Linked DNA regions of Drosophila melanogaster. The protein of the gene in region 1 interacts with the protein of each later gene in a pairwise test. Each region holds a gene or a part of one and is shown in the gene's direction. Other genes may lie near its edges.

Region 1 (2,856 bases):
TAAAATTTATTCTTTTACAATTAATCAATTAAATTACATCACATATTGAGGGTTGCAATAGCATTACGTAAAATCATAGGTAAGTGTATTCAATTCCAAATTCATACCACATTATTAACCTCTGACACCCAAAATACTATAAGAAGTGAGAGTATCCCTCCCCATTACAATAATCAATGACGTTGTTTTCCACCCATAAAATGTCAATATTAAGAACCCTCAAGATTTGTAAGGGAGATATACAAATCCATCTCAATTATTAAGTGAGGAAGTAGCATACCCTAGGCGGTTGCAAGGGAGGGACACAAATCCCATAGGTAGGCATCGATGTCAGAGGTCGATTAGTTTCCTAATAGAAACAGAGTTTATAAAAGTTAACTCGAAAGTGAAATTTACTCAATGGAATTCTAATACACCATACTTGCATGCGAAACCCAAGATTCCGAAACCAAAAGCACTTAATATTAGCTAATTAAAAATGGGTTTAGAAAGATACGCCAGACATTATAAGTTCCTATTAACTAAATTCAAAGAAAACTTTTGTATCCTATGATTACTTTAACAATCTTATTAGGATGAGCCACACATTGAACAAACCACATTTACCATAAGACAAGATATTTGAAAAGTGCACATCAATTAACCGGTGAAAAATTACTAATTACCAATTAGGGGGTTGCAGGAAGTTAACTATGTGCATCCCATAGGTAGACATTCCGGCACAAGGCCCACCTCACCTCAGCCTGGGCATTGAGTACTCAACCTCGGCCACGAGTGTGGCACGCGGGGCACACTTTCTGCGCCCGTTTGACCCACGTCCCCCTGCCAACCACCCAAAAACCCGAGATCAGACAGCCCAAACGATGGAACGATCGAACAACCAAGGCGACCCGGCACGAAGCCAATATGCCACATCCACTAATTGTGTCCAATAAACACTCGTCGACGGGGCACTGTGGGAACGGAAAGAGGAGATCTCAGAGTTCGCAGTTCGGAGGTCGGAGCAGGAGTAGGGGCTTATACAATCATCGTCTGCTGGCATTGATGAAACAATAAGCGAGTAGATGGCACGGCAGGATAACAATGCCAGAGCGGCCCACGCACAAGCAGTTCGGATCCCCTGCCCCTGCTCATCATGCTTCGATCCCATGTACCCATATATGAACGTTCCCATTCCAAACACGACAGGATGAGGCAGTGAAGTATGCATTAAGGATAATAACACCGGCCCAGAAAGCAATGCGAGCAGCCAAAAACAGCGACAGCTGCAAAAATGTGCCCTGATCCTTATACTCGAAAAAAAATGAGAAGCGGAGCGGAGCGAAGCATGTGGCCAAAAGGGAAAACAAACGAGAAAAAATTGTGTGAGAAACTTACTTTCAGCTCGGTTCCCACGCCACGAGCCACAAGGATTGTCCTCCGTCCTACGAAGTTGCAGCTGTTCCTTGTGAAAAAGACAACAACACCGGCGTTTAGCCGTGCGAGCGAAAGAGAGGGCAGGAAAGGTGCGTATCAGAGGGTGGATTTCAGGGACCAGGGAGCGGTATAAAAGGACGGGACCTCGCAGAGCAGAATATCACTCACGATTACGCCGTCGAGCAGGCAGCAACAAGCCGAATACAAAATTTTTCAAAAATTTTTAAAACTACGTAACCTACTACCAAAACAAAAATGGAATACACCACCAAGACCCAGATCTACCAGAAGGTGAAGAAGCCAATGCTGGAGCGCCAGCGACGTGCCCGCATGAACAAGTGCCTGGACAACCTGAAAACACTTGTCGCCGAGCTACGAGGTGATGATGGCATCCTGCGCATGGACAAGGCCGAGATGCTCGAGTCAGCGGTGATCTTCATGCGCCAGCAAAAGACACCAAAGAAGGTGGCTCAGGAAGAACAATCCCTCCCCCTGGACAGCTTTAAGAATGGCTACATGAATGCCGTCAACGAGGTGTCACGTGTCATGGCCTCCACACCTGGCATGAGCGTCGACCTGGGCAAATCGGTGATGACTCACCTGGGACGCGTCTACAAGAACTTGCAGCAATTCCACGAAGCACAGTCCGCCGCCGACTTCATCCAGAACTCGATGGACTGCTCCTCAATGGACAAGGCTCCGCTCAGCCCCGCCTCCTCCGGATATCACAGCGACTGCGACAGCCCCGCCCCCTCGCCACAGCCCATGCAGCAGCCCTTGTGGCGCCCCTGGTAAAAACAAGGGGTTAAGTGGCAGGAAGGTAAGGGTGGAGTGGCAATGGGAATGGAAGAACCAACCAACAACGCATCTGTGATAGCCCAACTGTGATGGCAACAAAATAGCAAAATTAAAAAAGCAATTAGCAAAACAAATATAAACCAATTTAAACAAATATCAAAACAATTTACTTTATTGGGATGTTGGGAGGGGATCTAAGGGACCAATCCCTTAGTTGGTGGCAATTGGAATCCTTATTGGTAATTAAATTATTACCAATTAGGAAATATCAAATAATATATCTCTGCTCTGACAATGGAAATCTATTTTGGCAATGACCGAAGTGAAATCTATTTTATAATAATAAATATTTATTTATAAATATAAATAAATTATATTTATTTATTTATATCTATTTAATAATAAATTAAATATATTTCACTTAATTAAAATAAAAGTGTTTTAGAAAACTAGCACTGATAATTTTAAGTTTTTTGAATCGGTAATGTCCTTAACGGTTCACAAGATTGAAAATAGCAAATCAGACTGAATAATAATAAACTGAATAATTATTTATTCATTTTTAAAAAGCGCGCCAACTGCACCTGAAGAACATGTACAGATCTAAGTTACGTATTTATTGCGGAACTTTTTTCACTTTTT
Region 2 (3,706 bases), about 18 Mb from region 1:
TCCTCATGCCGAAGAGAGTCCTGGAAAGAGTATACTGAATTAGGCCGGCTAGTCAGCAATTTGGTTACTTAACAAAATGTAGAAAATAACTAAATTAATTTAGTTACTGCGTCAATAGTTTAATGGCCTAAGTAACTAATACATGATTTGAGAGTTTAGTAAAAAACCCAATATACAATTATAACATTCACCATATTATATTACACTCAAGAATATACAGGTTGGTTTTTCTAGGATAATATAAGAATATGATTTGGATATGACTACAAGAGTGTTTCATGTTTCACCCAAGCAGATTCATACCCATTCAATTGGCTTTGTCATGCGCTTTCTGGAAGCTGCTCCACATCAGTTGCATTCCCATCGATGGCCAAGTTGCATTTATGCATATTGACATGAAAGAAGTGGCCCGTTACCAGCGTATTGATGCCAATGAGCTGGAGCTGAGGTATTGGAGGTACTGGTACTCATAAGGTATGTGGGTCCGATGTGAGGGATCAGCCACTCGATAACTGACAGGCACGCAAGGCGCCCGATGCCGACCATTGGCGAAAAAAGAACTCGACTTGACTTGGAATGACCCTTTTTGCCCCCTCGACTGGCAGCACGTGCATATTGCGATGCGGCAATGAAAATGTAAATTTCCCAATCGATATGCAGCGGATGCCTTGACATCGGCTAATGCCGATAAGCGAAAAACTTTACAGCGGAGATGCAATCCGAGGGATACGATCTGCACAGGTACATATTGCAGGTGTAACTACTGTCTGTTGCGGCAAGTGGCTCGTAAATTGCATGGAAGGACATTCACGAGGGACGTTCAGGACATTCGAGGTCTCTCAGGGGTGGACAAAAGGTCAAACATGCCTGTGTGCGTCCAATAAATTGGTGGTGCCGCTCTTGGTGCGGTTTGTTGTGTGACATTTTTATCTAATTGACAGCGTTTTTATTGCCCGGCAAAAAGATCAGATCCTTTGGGGCGTGCTACTAGTTGTGCGACTGGGTGGCCGCGGAACTTCAAAGATGCCCGAACACTCCCCCGCAAGTGGTTGATGTAGAATTCGTTGCATTATGATTTCCAGCGAATCATTAAGGATTAAGGGGCGTAGCGAAGGGATCTAAGGACCACCGTGGACGCTTCGTTTTGCTGTGTCATCCTGGGATCTACAACTAAATTCCCTGCTCACGATCGAACACACGGCCGTATTAATTGCAAGGCGCTAAAATGTTAACCCAGCTCTTAGTTACTGCCTGCCACGCTTATTAGGCACGACGAGGGCTAAGGTGAAGGTCAGTCCTGGCACTCGGTCAAGCGTGTCCTTGAAGGGCCGGCGCTATCATCTACCTTCTTCATGGTACCGGCAACAAGCGTATCAATTGGAAAATTTGCCAAGTTGTAATAAACAAGATTTTTCATTGCGATATTCCGCCCCCGACTTTGGGTAAGCATGTCGAATGACCCGGCGGCGGTGGATTTGTAAGGATTTCCCTAGCCGTGATCAGGTAGATCGAACCCACTTGCAACCGATGCAGATTAGATAAACTCATAAGACCCGCTCTGCCATTTGGTGCTGACAAATCGCCAAGGGATTTTTGCAAATTTCGCTTCGCTTTGCGGTCGACTTTAATCCCGTTTAGGGATTCAAATCGATTGTTTGTCCAAGTTCTGTTTACATTTCCGCCCATATTCCTGTTCCGGTTGTGCCGGCCATCCTATAATCATCTTGTTAGCGGCTTTAGATGCCCAGATAGTCGGTTTTCTAGCGCCATTTTAAGCTCGCAACGAACTGAGGTATAACCGGGCTCTCTGAGACCGCTGCAACTCACCACCAACTGCCATTGGTCGTGCCACTCGGGCGGCACGTGCTGCCTTCTGTGGCAACTCGTTTACCTGCCCCCCTACCTGCCTTTCAGGCCCTTCTGACCGTCGTGGTGGATTTGTGAGTATAAATAGGGCCGAAAGGACGAGAGACCAGTCAGAAACCCGCCAGCACTCGCAGCGTTCGTATCGTTTCATCCAGCAACATAACACCACCATACAGCAGCAGCAACATGTCGTCCAGTGAGATCTATCGCTACTACTACAAGACCTCCGAGGACTTGCAGGGCTTCAAGACAGCCGCCGCCGAGCCGTACTTCAATCCCATGGCAGCCTACAATCCCGGCGTGACCCACTACCAGTTCAATGGCAACACCCTGGCCAGCAGCAGCAACTACTTGTCGGCCAATGGCTTCATCAGCTTCGAGCAGGCCAGTTCCGATGGCTGGATCTCCTCCTCGCCGGCTAGCCACCGATCTGAGAGTCCCGAGTATGTGGATCTCAATACCATGTACAATGGAGGCTGCAACAACATGGCCCAGAACCAACAATACGGAATGATTATGGAGCAGTCTGTTGTTTCCACAGCGCCTGCAATTCCAGTGGCCTCTCCTCCGGCAGTGGAGGTCATGGGCTCCTCCAACGTGGGCACTTGCAAAACGATTCCAGCCTCAGCAGGTCCGAAACCGAAGCGTAGCTATACCAAGAAGAACCAGCCAAGCACCACCGCCACCTCCACACCGACTGCAGCTGCGGAGTCATCTGCCTCAGTGAATCTCTACACGGAGGAGTTCCAGAACTTTGACTTTGACAACTCCGCCTTGTTCGATGACAGCGTCGAGGATGACGAGGACCTCATGCTCTTCAGTGGCGGTGAGGACTTCGATGGCAATGATGGATCCTTTGACTTGGCCGATGGTGAGAACCAAGATGCCGCTGCCGGAGGCTCTGGAAAGAAGAGGCGTGGCAAGCAGATCACACCCGTCGTGAAGAGGAAGCGTCGCCTGGCCGCCAATGCACGTGAGCGTCGTCGGATGCAGAACCTCAACCAGGCCTTCGATCGTCTCCGCCAGTACCTTCCCTGTCTGGGAAACGATCGCCAGCTGTCCAAACACGAGACCCTCCAAATGGCCCAGACCTACATATCCGCTCTCGGGGATCTGCTGCGCTGAATTCCCGGATCCCGATCCCAGTCCCAAGTACTATTCTCAGTTATTGTTGGAGCTTGCCAAATGTTGTAGCTACTTTGTATATATTGCCTGGAGCCCAGTAGTGAATTACCGCTTAAGTATTATGCTGTTTATTGTTTAGTTAATTAGCCTAAATGGAAGACAATGATTAAGACTAAGGAAGACAAAATAAAAGCACCATTAATAATTTAAAACATATGTTCGTTTTTTGTTAACGGGGACTTTCTAACAGTTTTAGTAGCTATGCAACAATTCCTAGATGCAAAATGATAAATACAAAAATTCCAAGCCATCCAAATCCTTTCATCTCTGAACAATTCTGTTTCCCCAATCCTCGATATCCACACTTATCGGCGGGGCATCAATTCTCACACAGTGAATTGGACTTTATTATATGGGGGAAGGTGATCGATTTGGCGCTTCGCGATCAATTTGTAGACAGTTCGACAAAATTAGGGCCCCTCTTAATCGGGTTGGCCAAAACAAATACGCAGCGGACGATAATTACACGGCACGGCGCGCCGGACTGTAGCTGCCAAATTAAGTTAAGTGTTGGGCTGATCTGCTTTCAGCAGTCGCAGGTCGCATGCAATGTCCGTATGTCCGCTTGTCCGTATGTCCATTTGTCCGTCGCTGTCCCTGGAACCTCTGCAACTTCATATCCCAGTGGAAGTCCCAGTCGAGCCCCGAAAATCAA
Region 3 (5,950 bases), on another chromosome or scaffold:
AACAAAAATTCGAGAGAGCCTGGAGCCACCTCTAGAGCCACGGCCAAAAAATCGTGTGCCAAAAAATCGTATGGCGTTACGCATCTTGTTATTCTAGGGTCTTTGACTCAACAATCATTGCCTTATTAATTTTTCACACGCCGCAAGATGAATACTCTAATGACAAATATTCTTATATAAAGTCATTTTTGAAATTTATTTTTGTGATAATATGTACATAGATTTGACTATTTCTAATCTATTTTCAAATAATAATAACGTTAAGGCAATGCAAAACAAGAATTTTTCGCATGGTGCCAATTGATCAAAAATAATATAGATTTAAAGCCAAAGAACTTCTAAGGTGAAGGGCATATTTTGTCAAATTTACAATGCATGAGCATACGTGTGCACACATAAAGTTGTCTGCTATCACTGTATGCGTAGAAAAGAGCGGTTCGCTGTAGCGCTCTTCGCTCTCTCGCTCTCTAACAAAAATTCGAGAGAGCCTGGAGCCACCTCTAGAGCCACGGCCAAAAAATCGTGTGCCAAAAAATCGTATGGCGTTACGCATCTTGTTATTCTAGGGTCTTTGGCCAGGCCATCAGCCAGGGGGGGCAGATAGTAGAATTCCTCTTCCTACACTGGAAACTCTTAGTGAAAGCACCTATCAAACAGCTTATGTATTTGAAGCAGATCGATATAATTGGAGGCAGATTGACTAAGAGAATAAGAACAGTACATAGTGTAAATAAACAACGGGAAGTTACGTGATAGGCAGCAAATTATGAAATTTCTTGAACATTCCTTTTTGGTGCAGGGGGGTGTGTGTGTGTGTGTGTGTGTGTGTGTGTGTGTGTGTGTGTGTGTGTGTGTGTGTGTGTGTGTGTGTGTGTGTGTGTGTGTGTGTGTGTGTGTGTGTGTGTGTGTGTGTGTGTGTGTGGTTGGTGTGGTTATAAATATAATAATTAATGTTTTTCTCTCTATGTTCTAGAACTTAATTGCTTAAGGACGCTGCTGAAGGATACGCCGAACTCGTTAGAGGCGGACTGCCGAGAAAAGCTGCAGCGACGCATAGAGATGTTCAGGAACGCAGACGACACGTTGGCGCTTCCGCCCGAGGATGTGCAGCAGCTAGTGCAACAAGTCGTCGCCTCTCCGGCGCGGAAATTCTTCCTTGTGATACTAATGAGCGCCACGGGCCTGGTCTTCCTCACCGGCATCTTCCTGGGACGGGCCACCAAACGGGCAATGGGCTTAAAGAATAAATAATTGAAATATTAGACTGTAGTGGCACTGTGTAGGCGGAGTGTGCATGTTTGTGAGCTTGCTGATTTCCATTTCGGCCCATCCATGACCCCATTCCGAAACCCAGAAGTATACTTTCACTCAACCCTGTCTGCCTTTCGATATTTGTGTGAGCAATTTGTGGCTTAGTCGTTTGTAAGACCAAAAAATACGCGAGAAAGGAGAACACAATCAAATATACTAGTTCCATTCTTAGGGCTCTTTTCGTTATAGCTTTTTTGTAACAATTTCACTTGTATATTAAATTGTATTTTTGTAAACAAAAGCCCCTTCTTTTTAACTATATCCACATGGAAGGCATCAACAGATGTTTCTCTTTGGATCAATACCAGAGCGCTAATACGGCAGAGCGCCTAGTTTTGAGTACAAAAGTTAAGTAAAAACTTGGGATAGGCTTATCAATTTAATCAAATAGCCAAGGTAACTCAAAGTATAAAATTTAATATTATGTCCTTGTGGGCTTATGAGAATTAAAATTTGTGTTAATTGATTAAGCTTGACTCTAATTTGTACCCTAGACACGCCTTTGTTATTATTGATATTAGTAATTCTATTATTATCCTTTGTTTTACGTTAAAAATTACAATTTCAACGAACTGTAGCTCTACAGGTGTTTTGGTATATTTGCACAATGAGCTGCCTTTTTTTAGTATATGGGACCGGATGGTATGTTGAAAGAGCCCAACTGCGGTCACACTGCTCGCAAGTGAATTGGAACAAGGAGATTTTATTGCGTTAGAAAAGGTTCAAAATAGGCACAAAGTGCCTGAAAATATCGTAACTGACCGGAAGTAACATAACTTTAACCAAGTGCCTCGAAAAATAGATGTTTTTAAAAGCTCAAGAATGGTGATAACAGACGTCCAATAAGAATTTTCAAAGAGCCAAGTAAGCAAGACCAATTCATTCACATCACAGGCACCCACACAGATGCAGCCAAAACAGGTTCTATTAAAATAGCTCTGGCTACGTTAGCTACAGCTGCGTCCAAAATAGTAGCACTTTTGTTGGCAGCAGCAACGGTGTTTTATATTGCGTAAAATTCAATGATTTATTTTTTGAAAACATCAATATAATATATTATAATACATTTATTATTATTATTATTATTATCTACTATATAAATATATTTTGTGATAGAATTAACCACCTCATACCTCTCTTTTCGGCTCGTAATTCCTTTATTCTAGACACACTCCATATTTATCTCTTCTCTACTTTATATTGCAAGTAAAATTTAAATTACATATGTGAAGATGTTTGGGTTTCAGTTATTTATACAGCCGACGACTATTTTTTAGCCGCCTGCTGTGGCGACAATGGACGGCGTTAAGGTTGAGACGTTCATCAAAAGCGAAGGTGAGTCCAATCACCCGAGCCATGCCACCTTGGAGCCCATTCTAACGCGACTGTTGCCATTGCCCTCTGACCTTGCAGAAAACCGAGCGATGCCCTTGATCGGAGGAGGCAGTGCCTCAGGCGGCACTCCTCTGCCAGGAGGCGGCGTGGGAATGGGAGCCGGAGCATCCGCAACGTTGAGCGTGGAGCTGTGTTTGGTGTGCGGGGACCGCGCCTCCGGGCGGCACTACGGAGCCATAAGCTGCGAAGGCTGCAAGGGATTCTTCAAGCGCTCGATCCGGAAGCAGCTGGGCTACCAGTGTCGCGGGGCTATGAACTGCGAGGTCACCAAGCACCACAGGAATCGGTGCCAGTTCTGTCGACTACAGAAGTGCCTGGCCAGCGGCATGCGAAGTGATTGTAATTTTCGTTTAAGTCGTCGTCTCAAGCTATAACCAATCTCTGGCCTGGCCAGAGTCTACGTGCTCCAGCAGGCTTTAGCAGAATTGCATTGTAGAAATTAGGAGATATCATATATGTAGCATTTAACTCTGACAAGTAATGAAACGTTATCGATTCACAGGAACTCAGTTTCCCAGAGCTTAATCAAGAACTGGTTGGATGATCTCCAATTCGAATTGGACTCAAAGATAAATAGTCTAATCTAGAGAAAGTTCAATTTCAATTGAATTCAATTCAATTTTCGTCTGTGAAGTGCATTTTACACCAAGTAATCACGTGAATCTAATTGCATCCCAGTGTTTGCTTCTGTAACGTGAATATCCACTTCAGTAACTTGCACATCTTAAAACTGCAGCGGCGGAGGCACAAAAGATTCCCAGCCTGCACGAACATTAACCAATTCACCCACTTACTCACCATCACCTCGCTTTGAAAATCATCAAACCGCATCCTCACCTCACTTCTCGCTCTAATTAATTGCCTTCCGTTCTCATCAACTTTTGTTCACAGCTGTGCAGCACGAGAGGAAACCGATTGTGGACAGGAAGGAGGGGATCATCGCTGCTGCCGGTAGCTCATCCACTTCTGGCGGCGGTAATGGCTCGTCCACCTACCTATCCGGCAAGTCCGGCTATCAGCAGGGGCGTGGCAAGGGGCACAGTGTAAAGGCCGAATCCGCGGCCACGCCTCCAGTGCACAGCGCGCCAGCAACGGCCTTCAATTTGAATGAGAATATATTCCCGATGGGTTTGAATTTCGCAGAACTAACGCAGACATTGAGTAAGTTGAACTTTGATTTACATTCTGGTTGGTCATATATACTTAACTGCCATGATTGATCCATATTTAACTTCTTTTAAACGAATTCACCATTAATAATCTCCTATTGACTTTGCAGTGTTCGCTACCCAACAGCAGCAGCAACAACAGCAACAGCATCAACAGAGTGGTAGCTATTCGCCAGATATTCCGAAGGCAGATCCCGAGGATGACGAGGACGACTCAATGGACAACAGCAGCACGCTGTGCTTGCAGTTGCTCGCCAACAGCGCCAGCAACAACAACTCGCAGCACCTGAACTTTAATGCTGGGGAAGTACCCACCGCTCTGCCTACCACCTCGACAATGGGGCTTATTCAGAGTTCGCTGGACATGCGGGTCATCCACAAGGGACTGCAGATCCTGCAGCCCATCCAAAACCAACTGGAGCGAAATGGTAATCTGAGTGTGAAGCCCGAGTGCGATTCAGAGGCGGAGGACAGTGGCACCGAGGATGCCGTAGACGCGGAGCTGGAGCACATGGAACTAGACTTTGAGTGCGGTGGGAACCGAAGCGGTGGAAGCGATTTTGCTATCAATGAGGCGGTCTTTGAACAGGATCTTCTCACCGATGTGCAGTGTGCCTTTCATGTGCAACCGCCGACTTTGGTCCACTCGTATTTAAATATTCATTATGTGTGTGAGACGGGCTCGCGAATCATTTTTCTCACCATCCATACCCTTCGAAAGGTTCCAGTTTTCGAACAATTGGAAGCCCATACACAGGTGAAACTCCTGAGAGGAGTGTGGCCAGCATTAATGGCTATAGCTTTGGCGCAGTGTCAGGGTCAGCTTTCGGTGCCCACCATTATCGGGCAGTTTATTCAAAGCACTCGCCAGCTAGCGGATATCGATAAGATCGAACCGTTGAAGATCTCGAAGATGGCAAATCTCACCAGGACCCTGCACGACTTTGTCCAGGAGCTCCAGTCACTGGATGTTACTGATATGGAGTTTGGCTTGCTGCGTCTGATCTTGCTCTTCAATCCAACGCTCTTGCAGCAGCGCAAGGAGCGGTCGTTGCGAGGCTACGTCCGCAGAGTCCAACTCTACGCTCTGTCAAGTTTGAGAAGGCAGGGTGGCATCGGCGGCGGCGAGGAGCGCTTTAATGTTCTGGTGGCTCGCCTTCTTCCGCTCAGCAGCCTGGACGCAGAGGCCATGGAGGAGCTGTTCTTCGCCAACTTGGTGGGGCAGATGCAGATGGATGCTCTTATTCCGTTCATACTGATGACCAGCAACACCAGTGGACTGTAGGCGGAATTGAGAAGAACAGGGCGCAAGCAGATTCGCTAGACTGCCCAAAAGCAAGACTGAAGATGGACCAAGTGCGGGCAATACATGTAGCAACTAGGCAAATCCCATTAATTATATATTTAATATATACAATATATAGTTTAGGATACAATATTCTAACATAAAACCATGGGTTTATTGTTGTTCACAGATAAAATGGAATCGATTTCCCAATAAAAGCGAATATGTTTTTAAACAGAATGTTTGCATCAGAACTTTGAGATGTATACATTAGATTATTACAACACAACTTTGATCAAATGTTAATCTAATTTTTATTAAAGATGTGGATCTCATCCCACAGATTGGCAGAAAGCAGAATACAAAGTCAAGAAATGGCAACGTGTAGGGAACAATTTAAAGGCGGTCGTTATATTTTTATTTTTTGTATAAAAATAATTTGATTGTTTACTAAAGTAGATAGACGAACTGCAGCTAAATATGCATCCAGTCTTTACAACTTAATCTAAGCTAGAGCGAGGGATTACTGTTCCTCTTCGGGTACCTTTCTGGCGGGCTTGTGCTTCTCGTAAGCCTCATCGTTGAGTCCCTCCCGATTCCGGGCAATCTCGATGGCCAGAAACTGGACGCGAAACACGAAGATAGAGTTGTCCGGGGAGAATTCCCTGCTGGCATCGGCGCGCATCAGGGTGCCATACGAGTAATCGTCCAACTTGTTAAACTTCTCGGCGAACTGGCGCCACTTGAGCTTCGCCGTGGCGGATTTGAGAATATCATCGGTAAGCCGGCC

What was found.
Region 2: the proteins of E(spl)m8-HLH (region 1) and ato interact in a two-hybrid assay, tested with the Drosophila melanogaster proteins (one study listed by BioGRID).
Region 3: the proteins of E(spl)m8-HLH (region 1) and Hr78 interact in binary tests that used the Drosophila melanogaster proteins (3 or more experiments, as listed by UniProt).

What each region holds. Positions count from the first base shown.
Region 1 is NT_033777.3:26,038,653-26,041,508, forward strand, and holds E(spl)m8-HLH (enhancer of split m8, helix-loop-helix), read left to right. Parts: upstream 1-1,587; 5' UTR 1,588-1,671; coding exon 1,672-2,211; 3' UTR 2,212-2,356; downstream 2,357-2,856. UniProt on the Drosophila melanogaster protein: Participates in the control of cell fate choice by uncommitted neuroectodermal cells in the embryo. Transcriptional repressor. Binds DNA on N-box motifs: 5'-CACNAG-3'. Part of the Notch signaling pathway.
Region 2 is NT_033777.3:8,276,074-8,279,779, forward strand, and holds ato (atonal), read left to right. Parts: upstream 1-1,978; 5' UTR 1,979-2,052; coding exon 2,053-2,991; 3' UTR 2,992-3,201; downstream 3,202-3,706. UniProt on the Drosophila melanogaster protein: Developmental protein involved in neurogenesis. Required for the formation of chordotonal organs and photoreceptors. Seems to bind to E boxes. Specifically required for the photoreceptor R8 selection.
Region 3 is NT_037436.4:21,493,516-21,499,465, reverse strand, and holds Hr78 (Hormone-receptor-like in 78), read left to right. Parts: upstream 1-1,971; 5' UTR 1,972-2,175; intron 2,176-2,282; exon of another isoform or gene 2,283-2,323; intron 2,324-2,444; exon of another isoform or gene 2,445-2,558; 5' UTR 2,559-2,606; coding exon 2,607-2,646; exon of another isoform or gene 2,647-2,724; coding exon 2,725-3,045; exon of another isoform or gene 3,046-3,073; intron 3,074-3,597; coding exon 3,598-3,867; intron 3,868-3,985; coding exon 3,986-5,160; 3' UTR 5,161-5,447; downstream 5,448-5,950. Other genes in the region: Glg1 (golgi complex-localized glycoprotein 1), read left to right, coding at 974-1,251; CG7519 (uncharacterized protein), read right to left, coding at 5,684-5,950.